2 linked regions of the Schizosaccharomyces pombe genome follow. Changing the gene in region 1 together with any one later gene gives a genetic interaction. Each region holds a gene or a part of one and is shown on either strand. Other genes may lie near its edges.

What was found.
Region 2: mutations in coq11 (region 1) and syj2 together harm fitness more than expected from each alone (negative genetic interaction), as found in Schizosaccharomyces pombe (one large-scale study listed by BioGRID).

The regions. Positions count from the first base shown.
Region 1 is NC_003421.2:2,273,501-2,277,224, reverse strand, and holds coq11 (ubiquinone biosynthesis protein Coq11), read left to right. Parts: upstream 1-1,755; 5' UTR 1,756-2,026; coding exon 2,027-2,857; 3' UTR 2,858-3,058; downstream 3,059-3,724. Other genes in the region: pdi5 (protein disulfide isomerase), read left to right, coding at 3,381-3,724. UniProt on the Schizosaccharomyces pombe protein: Acts in the coenzyme Q biosynthetic pathway.
Region 2 is NC_003423.3:773,656-779,407, reverse strand, and holds syj2 (inositol-1,4,5-trisphosphate 5-phosphatase 2), read right to left. Parts: upstream 3,688-5,752; 5' UTR 3,636-3,687; coding exon 1,402-3,635; intron 1,357-1,401; coding exon 1,138-1,356; intron 1,093-1,137; coding exon 1,041-1,092; intron 991-1,040; coding exon 826-990; 3' UTR 687-825; downstream 1-686. Other genes in the region: dph6 (endoribonuclease), read right to left, coding at 4,013-4,827, 4,923-5,752.

The sequences.
Region 1 (3,724 bases):
GTTTTTGAATGAAAAATTAATGACGGCTCGAATATAAAGGGGACGGTCTTCGCTCTTTATTCAGCAAAGAACGTATGGAATAGAAAGAATTTGTACTAAATGTGTCACCATAAGTGCGAAGCTTTAGGGTTTTTACATTATAAGACAAGTTAGATTTTTGTTTTAAAGGTGGCATTTAGAATATAGACAGATGAAGTTAAAGGGCGCAGCTCGTTTTCCTTGGCACTTTTTTACACTCATCTCAGTACTTGTATTATCTTCTCAAAGCAGCTTGGTAGTACAATTTTCTTGGATATTATCCCTATCTGATAAAATAAAGTTTCGCTAATAATTAAGCGAAGACTTACAACTTTGACGAAGCAGCACACAGAACTAAACCAGTAGATCATAGTGACTATAAAAGCAAATCTACTTAAAGAGGCTGAGAAATTGCCATCGTGAGTTTATTTATTTTCAGCTATATTCTTCAATGTAAATTTAAGTATTTATTGAGAAAAATTTAAGAAAGTTAAGTTGTTCGTTATAACGTACAGCAGCTACGAAAGGATATTTATACTACTGTCTCGCAAATAAACATTCTAGCAACTCATTAACATCATAACTTGTGTTGGAATAGTAGACAACTATGATGAATAAAATAAAATAAAAAGGGCAAGTTAGAAATCAGAAATTTATGCTTAATGTTTCATTTGGATTTTCGTTATTTCCAATGTATTCTGAATATACTCATACTTAAACACATATTGTTATATGTTATATTTGTTACATCAGGGGGATCGATATATCATATACTCCACAGTATAGCTAATTTATTTGTAACCCTTTTTGAAGAAATATTTATTTGGTATTGAGAATTAAATTAAATTTAAAGATTTACTATATCATAGCCTATTTACTCAATCTGTTCAAATGTTGCTTTCGCAAACATATTTTTATCAGTCACAATATAATGAAATACACATTTGATTTAAAACAATTTCAAAAAAAAAAAAAGGATGTTGATTAGAATGAAAGAAAAAAAATAAGATTTATATATTTTCAAAACAAAAAAGGTGTAGATATCAATAATAAGAAGACTTAAAATTCTAATAGATCTCGTAACGATCAGTTATTTTAAATTTATAAAATTAAACCACAGTGTATTGTTTTAGAATATATGAATTTAATACTTTCGCTCAACGATTTCTTGATCGATCAACTAAATATGTAATAATATTAATTAAAAAAAAATAAAAAAAATTTGAGATTTTTTCTTTCCTCTTGCTATGAATCACGAAATTTTCTGTATGAACAGAATAGCAATCAACTGGCTTCTCAGACACTTCATAAAACTCGAAATTGTGTCTTCAGGGTTATCGGAATAAATATTATGATTCATAAGCTCTATTGTTAGCTTAAAATTGAATTTGTTATTAATCTAACATATTTGTAAATGGGTTTATGAAGTATTTGAATTTGAGATCTTATTATTACGAATTTAAAATCCAAAGATAATTAAGAAATTAATCAATGGCTTATAAAGTATAGAAAATTAAAGACTAAATTATCAAAGCATTTTTATTTTTAATTTTTTTTAGCGCTCTCATTTAAGACAAACTTTTACTAATACTCCAATTATGAATGATGGTTATTTTGCATACTTATTAAATGATGTACATATTTTTATAAATTAATAAGTCTAATAGAAGATAATTAATTACCTCTTTCCATCTCTTGGTCTTCCTTATTGAGCTAGCACATTACCTCATTCTCTTCAACTACGATTTACTAACTACTCAGGTTGAAAGGGTTTTTTGAACATTGTTCGTAAAAGGAAATTTTAAAAATATTTTGAGACAGCATTTTTGTGTTTCTCAATTATTAAGATTAATAATAAGCATCACGAAACTTTGAGGTGTTAGCTTACATTAACAATTCTGGGGTTCTAATCCTTATAATAATTTGGGCTGGCCTATATCAAATTGTCTAATTTGAAGATTTAAATTCTTTAAATAATTTTATTTTTACTTTCTCCCTCGTTTTAAGTATGAAAATTGTTGTTTTAGGTGGTTCAGGCTTTTTAGGGCATAATATTTGCAAATTAGCCATTGCTAAGGGTTACGAGGTGGTTTCAGTATCCCGAAGAGGAGCTGGAGGATTGCATAACAAAGAACCATGGATGGATGATGTTGAATGGGAGACGTTGGATGCTCAAAAAGATCCAAATTCATTACTTCCTGTTCTTCGTGATGCCTCGGCAGTGGTGAACAGTGTTGGTATCCTTATGGAAAATAACTATAAAAAGATTTTACAGAATCCCAGAGGACCAGTTTCGCATTTAATCAATAGTCTTAGCTCTAACATGTTTAAAACTGGCCAAAACCCTTTAGCACCTAAACCTGAAGAAGCAAAGCAATCTAAAAATAAAGTTACATTTGAAGCAATCAATCGAGATTTAGCTATTGAAACAGCTAAGATTGCCGCCAAAGCTAATGTCCCTGTGTATTGCTATGTGTCTGCTCATGCAGCGGCTCCCGGGTTGGATCCCCGCTACATAAAAACGAAACGTGAAGCTGAAAGGGAAATATCTAAAATTTCAAACCTTCGTTCTATATTTCTCCGTCCTGGTTTTATGTATAACTTTAATGATCGTCCTTTCACAGGCGCCCTTGCGTCTCTTTTTACTGTCTCATCCAGCATCAATCGAGCAACCTCTGGTGCTTTAAATTTCCTCGGAACCGCTTCGGCTGAACCCCTTCCTTCTGAGGAAGTTGCTTTGGCTGCTTTGGAGGCTATTTCTGATCCCAGTGTCAAGGGTCCTGTGGAAATTTCCGAATTAAAATCTATGGCTCATAAGTTTAAGCAAAAATCTCTATGATTCTCTTGTTAAAAGTAAATTACACATCATAAGTTTATGAAAATGAATGATTGGGTTATGTGTAATGAATTTTGACCAGTCTTAATTATATCTACCTGAATACGTCTTTATACTTTCAAGTTAAAATATGATTGCTAAACAAAGAGAAAAAGTATCGTCTAATTTAAATTCTCTGCTCAATATTTACATCATTTGAACTACTGTTATCTAAGTCGTAGAATCTTTTCCAACTATAATTGCCAAATTTGCTTCCTGACTGTATTTATTAACTAGAAAATTAAAACAAGTTATTTCAAAAAATTAGAAAGAAAGCTCTTTTCCCATGTTAACTCGAGCTATATTTGCTTCGATATATCAGCTGTTGTAGTAACCATACATTTTACCTTATTATACACCTCGCACTACCTATATCAAACGCACGCATTCGAAAGGTCCTCGGTGAATTAAAGAATTAAGAAGATAGAGAAGTTCATAATCCTTTTAATTTACTTATTCAAATTGGACTTACAGTCGTAAATTATTTATGGAGCTGGGTGCTTGGAGATCTATTCTCTATATTGCGTTCCTGTTCGCGATTACGCGCCATGCCTTTTGTAAAGCAGTTAACTTGGTGCATTCACCAGAAGGAGAAGAGTTCGAAAATATTTTGAGCTCTGTTTCTGCTACAGTTGAGAAGAAAGAAGTCAACAATAAATTAATAATGCCGACAGCTAATCGCGACAACCAAGGAGTAAGAGAAGAACTTTTAGTTTCTAGTTTTAAAGAAAGAAAGCTGTTGAACACCAATTCAGCCAATTTGCGGCTAAATAGTATTGGCTCATACGAAATGATCGACTTCAAACAGATTAATTCCGAATTTTTCTTGTC
Region 2 (5,752 bases), on another chromosome or scaffold:
TTTAATACCTGAAAGTTGGGAAGACGTTCATTTGAAAGAAGGATTAGTTGCCATCATAGACTTAGCCGTGGATCGGCTTCACTGCTCGAAGCTGGTATTATTCGTTGATAAAAATAACAGTTCTCTCCCTTATTTAGTAAAAAGCTTACATTGGGTGGGTTTTGAGCCTCTCCCACATCTCAATTGTAGCGATCATGCTCTTTTCGGCATGGAGCTGTGAACGAGACTATATCTGTTTATCCTTAAGCTTTGATTCATCCTTTATTTGCATCTCAAAGTAAGAACACTGGCAAATTTTCTCGGTTGTTTTGATAAATTTGTTATTGAGCTGAATTGATAAAAATATATGCCCCTCATCACATGTCATGGTTAAACTGTGAACATATTATTTCTTCCTCCCCCATTATTATTTTTCATGGAACTTCATTAAATATTTTCTTCGGTTACACTTTGTCTTAGGTGTGCTTGGAAAGAGTCAGCGAGAATTTATTCAATCCAGGTTCATTTATTACTTCCTTGTGAATACCAAATTTATTCAATTCACGAGGCTTTTCATGATTTAGTTGTAGATTTTATTTAGATTGGGTTTACGATCATATTTTTGCTTTTATTACCCCTTTTTTTAAGTTATGCCTGTTTTTTGGTTATATAGTTTGAATGCTTTTCTCTCTTTAATATGTTAATAATACGAAGGAAACATCAAAAAAATATATTATTTTAAAACAAAAATTAAAAATAAATAGATAGATTAAATGTGCACTTTAAATAGTTGGAAATACGAAATTTCAGCAAAGGGAGGCGTAGATCATAAATAATCGTTAACGACTATTTATTACTATTTTTGCTTTTAATATAAGCAATCCTTGCGTCTCTTATGATTCCGGCTTTCTTGTCCATACAAGTACTGAATATTTTAAGGCTGAAAGTAGCGAATACAGGACGATGATCGGAACATCTAATGTCACAAGATTTATAGCAATTCCTAGTAAACTAAAGTTTCGGTTAGAGGTACACTACATTGAAATATATCTACAACTTACACTTTTTGTGGCCAAGATTCGATCTGTCCATGAAGGCACTCTCTGTTTATCTCTATAGCCATGTTAACAGTGTGGATTTGGTTTATGGTAAACGTACGAAGTGTCATAATCATTGGTTCCATTATCAAATTTGTAAGTAGGAAGAAATGTTAACTGTGGTTCAACTAAACCATGAAACACGGTGCCTTTCTTCATTTCTGTGCATAACTGATCATATGAAGCCAACTTGTCTAAGTCGTCCAGTTCAACAAGTTTTCGAACTTCTTCGTTATCAGAATCTATACGATAATTAAAATCACCCATCCATAAAATGTTCCTATGTTTGTCAGTAATGATTTTTTAAATACTTATCGTCACATACGTATGATCATAAATTTTCATTCCAGATGGAAAAACAAGGTTATCAGATATACTTGTATACTCCATGTTGCGCTCCGAAATATTATTAACCTTAGGAGCGAAATGTGAAGAAACAAAACAAAAATCCGAGTCGCAAACATTCATTTCAATTGCAACGGCACCCTTATTGGCAGAAAACCCGCCAAAGCCTGTCTTTCGAGTTGTTTTGGTAACTTTTGAAACAACAAGATGATCATCCTTCCGTATAAATACACCAAGGAAAACACCTGCCATTTGAATAGAGCTAATTAACATATACTTATTATTAGAATCTCGAGAATTGAGAATCATAAGTATTTTCTCTTCCCAAATCCTAAGTTTCTGATTGCTTGAACTAACAAGATGACTCATGTTCAAGGTAATTATCTCTTGAACCGCTACAACGTAAAGATCATAAGCGGAAGTTCTTTCGCCAAATGGAAGTAACAGCCTTTTAAATTCATCAGTGCTGGGTACTTTACCATTTGCATTAAATGTCGACGAAAATATGCTAAAATCCCTTTCGACTCTATATTCAGAACGACGTTGTCTTAGCACACCTTGGATGTAAGAAGACACGGATTCAGATATGAGTACGGGACTTTGATTCGGAAAACATCCCAACAGCAATAAAATGGCATTTTGAGATTCTACGTCTGGATATCTTCCAACATACATGCGGCCAAAAGATTTGGATATATCACTTAAAGATCCCGCAATAGATTTACGACCTCTACGGGTAGCGCTTGAACCAATGGAGCCAACCCCTGTAATTAGTTTCGCAATAGCATCACCGTTATTAGACCAGAGATGTCTTAGGTATTCAAGAATATTGAAAGTTACTCCTATTTGAAGGTTAAAAAATATATCCTTTAATACTAATCGAGATATTTGATACTGAATAACGTTTGTGCGTCCCAGACAATCCAAATCATTAATCCGAAACACTCCTTTTTGGAAAGATTCCAACATGTCATTTTCAATAGACTTTTGAGTATAGCCCATCTCTTTTAAATCGTCGGCCAAATCGGTCTCTAATCGTGGATCAATGTCAGGACGAGCAGGATCAGGTGTAAAGTGGAATTTCTTGACAACGGCAGGAAAAGGTAGAAGCATAAGGTGATGCTTGTAAGCTTCATATAGCGAAGCTTCAAAGCCTTTTGTTTGTAAAAGATCGATTACATATATATCACCATAAGCTTTGTATAGCTTACTAAAGTGAAAATTAAATAGACTTTGACTTGCCTGCGAAGATCTCAAAAAAGAAATAGAGGGTCCATACCAAGAAGAGAATTGTTCCTCCCAGAAACATGGGACTGTCCCTCGAACTTGTACGAAGCTAAAGACCGTTTGTGCGATCTCGACAATAAATTCTGTCTCCACAAACATAGAACAATAAGACGAATCATCAATACCAGAGGGAGGGTATGTTTGCCGAGAGCCATAACTAGATACCTTGGAGATTATACTCATAGACATACTATCAATGAACATTCTCTCAACATAACCCCGAAAGCAATGGAGCAACAGGTTCGGGAATTTCTCCAAAATATGGGCTTCAGAGAAGTGGTTATCCAATTCCGTTATGAGAAATCTATTCCAACAATAAATATCTTTGGGACCATAAGGCTGCTCGGATTGAAACCTTGAAAAGCAAGAAATATTTGTAGAGACATAAAATGAACCATCGGTGAGCAAATCGGTCAATTGAGAAAGGGAATGATATGGATATATCCTAGTAGTTGAAGAGTATTTACTAGAATATTCGCTATTAACCAAATTATCTTTTTCAATATTATTCAAGTCAGAAGTGCTTGTCGAAAAAGTAGAGCTTGGTGAACTATTACGAGGCATGGGTTCGAACAACTCTTCATCCCATAATTCCTGATCTAAAGAGATGAAGGAGACATTTTCAAGTTTCGAAATTGGGTCTCTATTACCAATTCGAAGCACTAGTTTTGCTTTCCGGGCAACGCATAGGAAAACGCCTTCTTTCATATCCTCACATACATAATTAAACAACCCAAGGGTTCCCAATATCTTCTCTCCTCCAAAAAGTAATTCATATTCCTTTATCTTTTCGAATTCTTCAAGTGAGATACAAGTGAATGTTATTATGCAATCAGAATCCTTAACAGACGGTTTTTGAATAATTGCCGCATATTTCTCTGTAATAAATGCAACAGATCTTTCTTTTCGTTTGAGATAGCACTGCATGGCAGGAAATAAATATATGCTTATTTCCTGCTTTGCGTGGATGGTAGACACTAAATACGTAGATATACTGACGCAGTAAGGAGATACACATAGCTAGCAAGTATTGTAGATTTCCAGTGAAAAAGTTAAATTTAAGCGTTGAAACAAAAGGAATGTCCTGAAAATATTTATTTAATCGTATTGGTTGAAAACCTGATAAACTTCAGCTTGTTATCATCAATTATATTATACAAATTGCCAAACTACCGAATATATATGCGTAAGAAATACGCTTTTTAGCGTTTTAATTTGGCCTGTATATATGAAAACAGTAAAAAAAGTTGTGTAAAAGCTAAGTTCGACCATTTCATTACAATCTAATTCCTATGTACATTAAGTTATACATTTTGATCTCTAGCTGTATAACGCACGTGTAATAACTGAGAATTTGGAAATGCATTGTTCAATACGATAGCATATGCGGAAGGATGTTCATGATGAATAAAGGAGGACTCCATTCGTAAACCATTTTGGTTCAATAAGGCGACATCCCATGCTGTATCAGAACCAAAAAGCGTTTGATTTGTAACGAGTGAACTTAGAAGTGGAACATCACAAGAGCTATCATTGTAAAGCAATTGCCATTCTACTGAGGCATTCCTTGGTAAGGCATCAACCAACGCAACCAAAACAGGACTTGACTCCCCAGTATTTTTTGTATATTCTGACCAAATTTTAACAACACAATCCGCATCACGAGAATCACAAACATATGCCAAGCATGCTATGAGTGAACCTACTCGCATTGCTTTTGCAACACGATTTGCGTGTTGAAGAGCCAGTACCATCTCAAATATTTTGTCATGAAGTTTTAACTCCATAACTGATGGTATTAAACCAATTTGTCCAGAAATGAAAACAACACCATTTGCACAGATCGACTGCGAATATGGACCAATGTTGGCTGGCGCCCAATAACTTTGCCCTTGAACATGAAGCGCTCTTTTCTCGGTTACATCTCCAACAATACAGGACATGACTATCCTATACTCACTAGCTAGAGGAGCTGCGACGCAAGACCGGGAAGGTGGGTTCGTGAAATCAAAATATTTATTGTAAACAGAGTTAAATTCTGCAAACTTAGACATGGAAGATAAAATGACGGTTACAAAGTAAACATTTTTGTTAGAATATCCATATGTACCAAGCAGTTCTAGGAAGTTAGTATTCTAGCGGTTTAAAGGAAATGTTCGGTGGCATAGCCGAATCAAGAATATGATTAACGAAGACAATCAATATGTAACTTACCATTTAAGTTGTTTATAGCAGATTCAGCTTCACCTTGAAACGTGTTATAAGATCCTTTGGTAGCAACCACATTACCCAATACTAAAAATGAGCCCTTTTTTTGCTGAAAGGCGCTTTCACGAAGAGGAATTGGGATAAGAGAAGTAGGCGTCTCCTCTTGATCGTCAATAAGTTCGTATTTTTTAGATATAGTATGATAAATATGTGAATATTCTTCCCCAAGTAATTCTTCATTTGGAACTAATTCACTTTTCAGCGAGATAGGTTGCCATTCAGGCTTATCTTTAACACAGGCCTTAACTTTCAAATAACAGACTTCCCCAGAAGAATGCTCAACAACCTCTTTATCAGTCAAAACAATTCGCTTCTTGAACAATGGGCAATCTAAAACCAATGTTTCGTATTCACCTCCTTCACCGCAAGGATGCAGTTCGAATTTTTTATTTAGGGTAAGAAGTTTATCTTGCATTTCAGCTAGAGATTTCCCCAAATCCTTCCTCGTAAGGCCAATTGCAGCTACTTTGATCAAGATGGCATTCAAACCAGAAACAACCATATCGTTGAGTAATTTTTCCTGATCTTTTTGCCAAAGAAAAGACAAGCTTTTCAAACCTAACCGTTTGCAAACATTTTCTACTCGAGTCCGTTGATATGTGGAAAGTATAGCGCCGGTAGAAACGGCTTCGAGATCTGGATGATTTGTCAATACACGCTTTATGAGTCTATATAAGTCTTCTGTTTCATCCTTTTCTGTAAATTGATAATCCAAGTTTTGATTGATACTTTGTCCACCGATTTTCTCTCGATATAACGGTAGATCGAAGCATTCA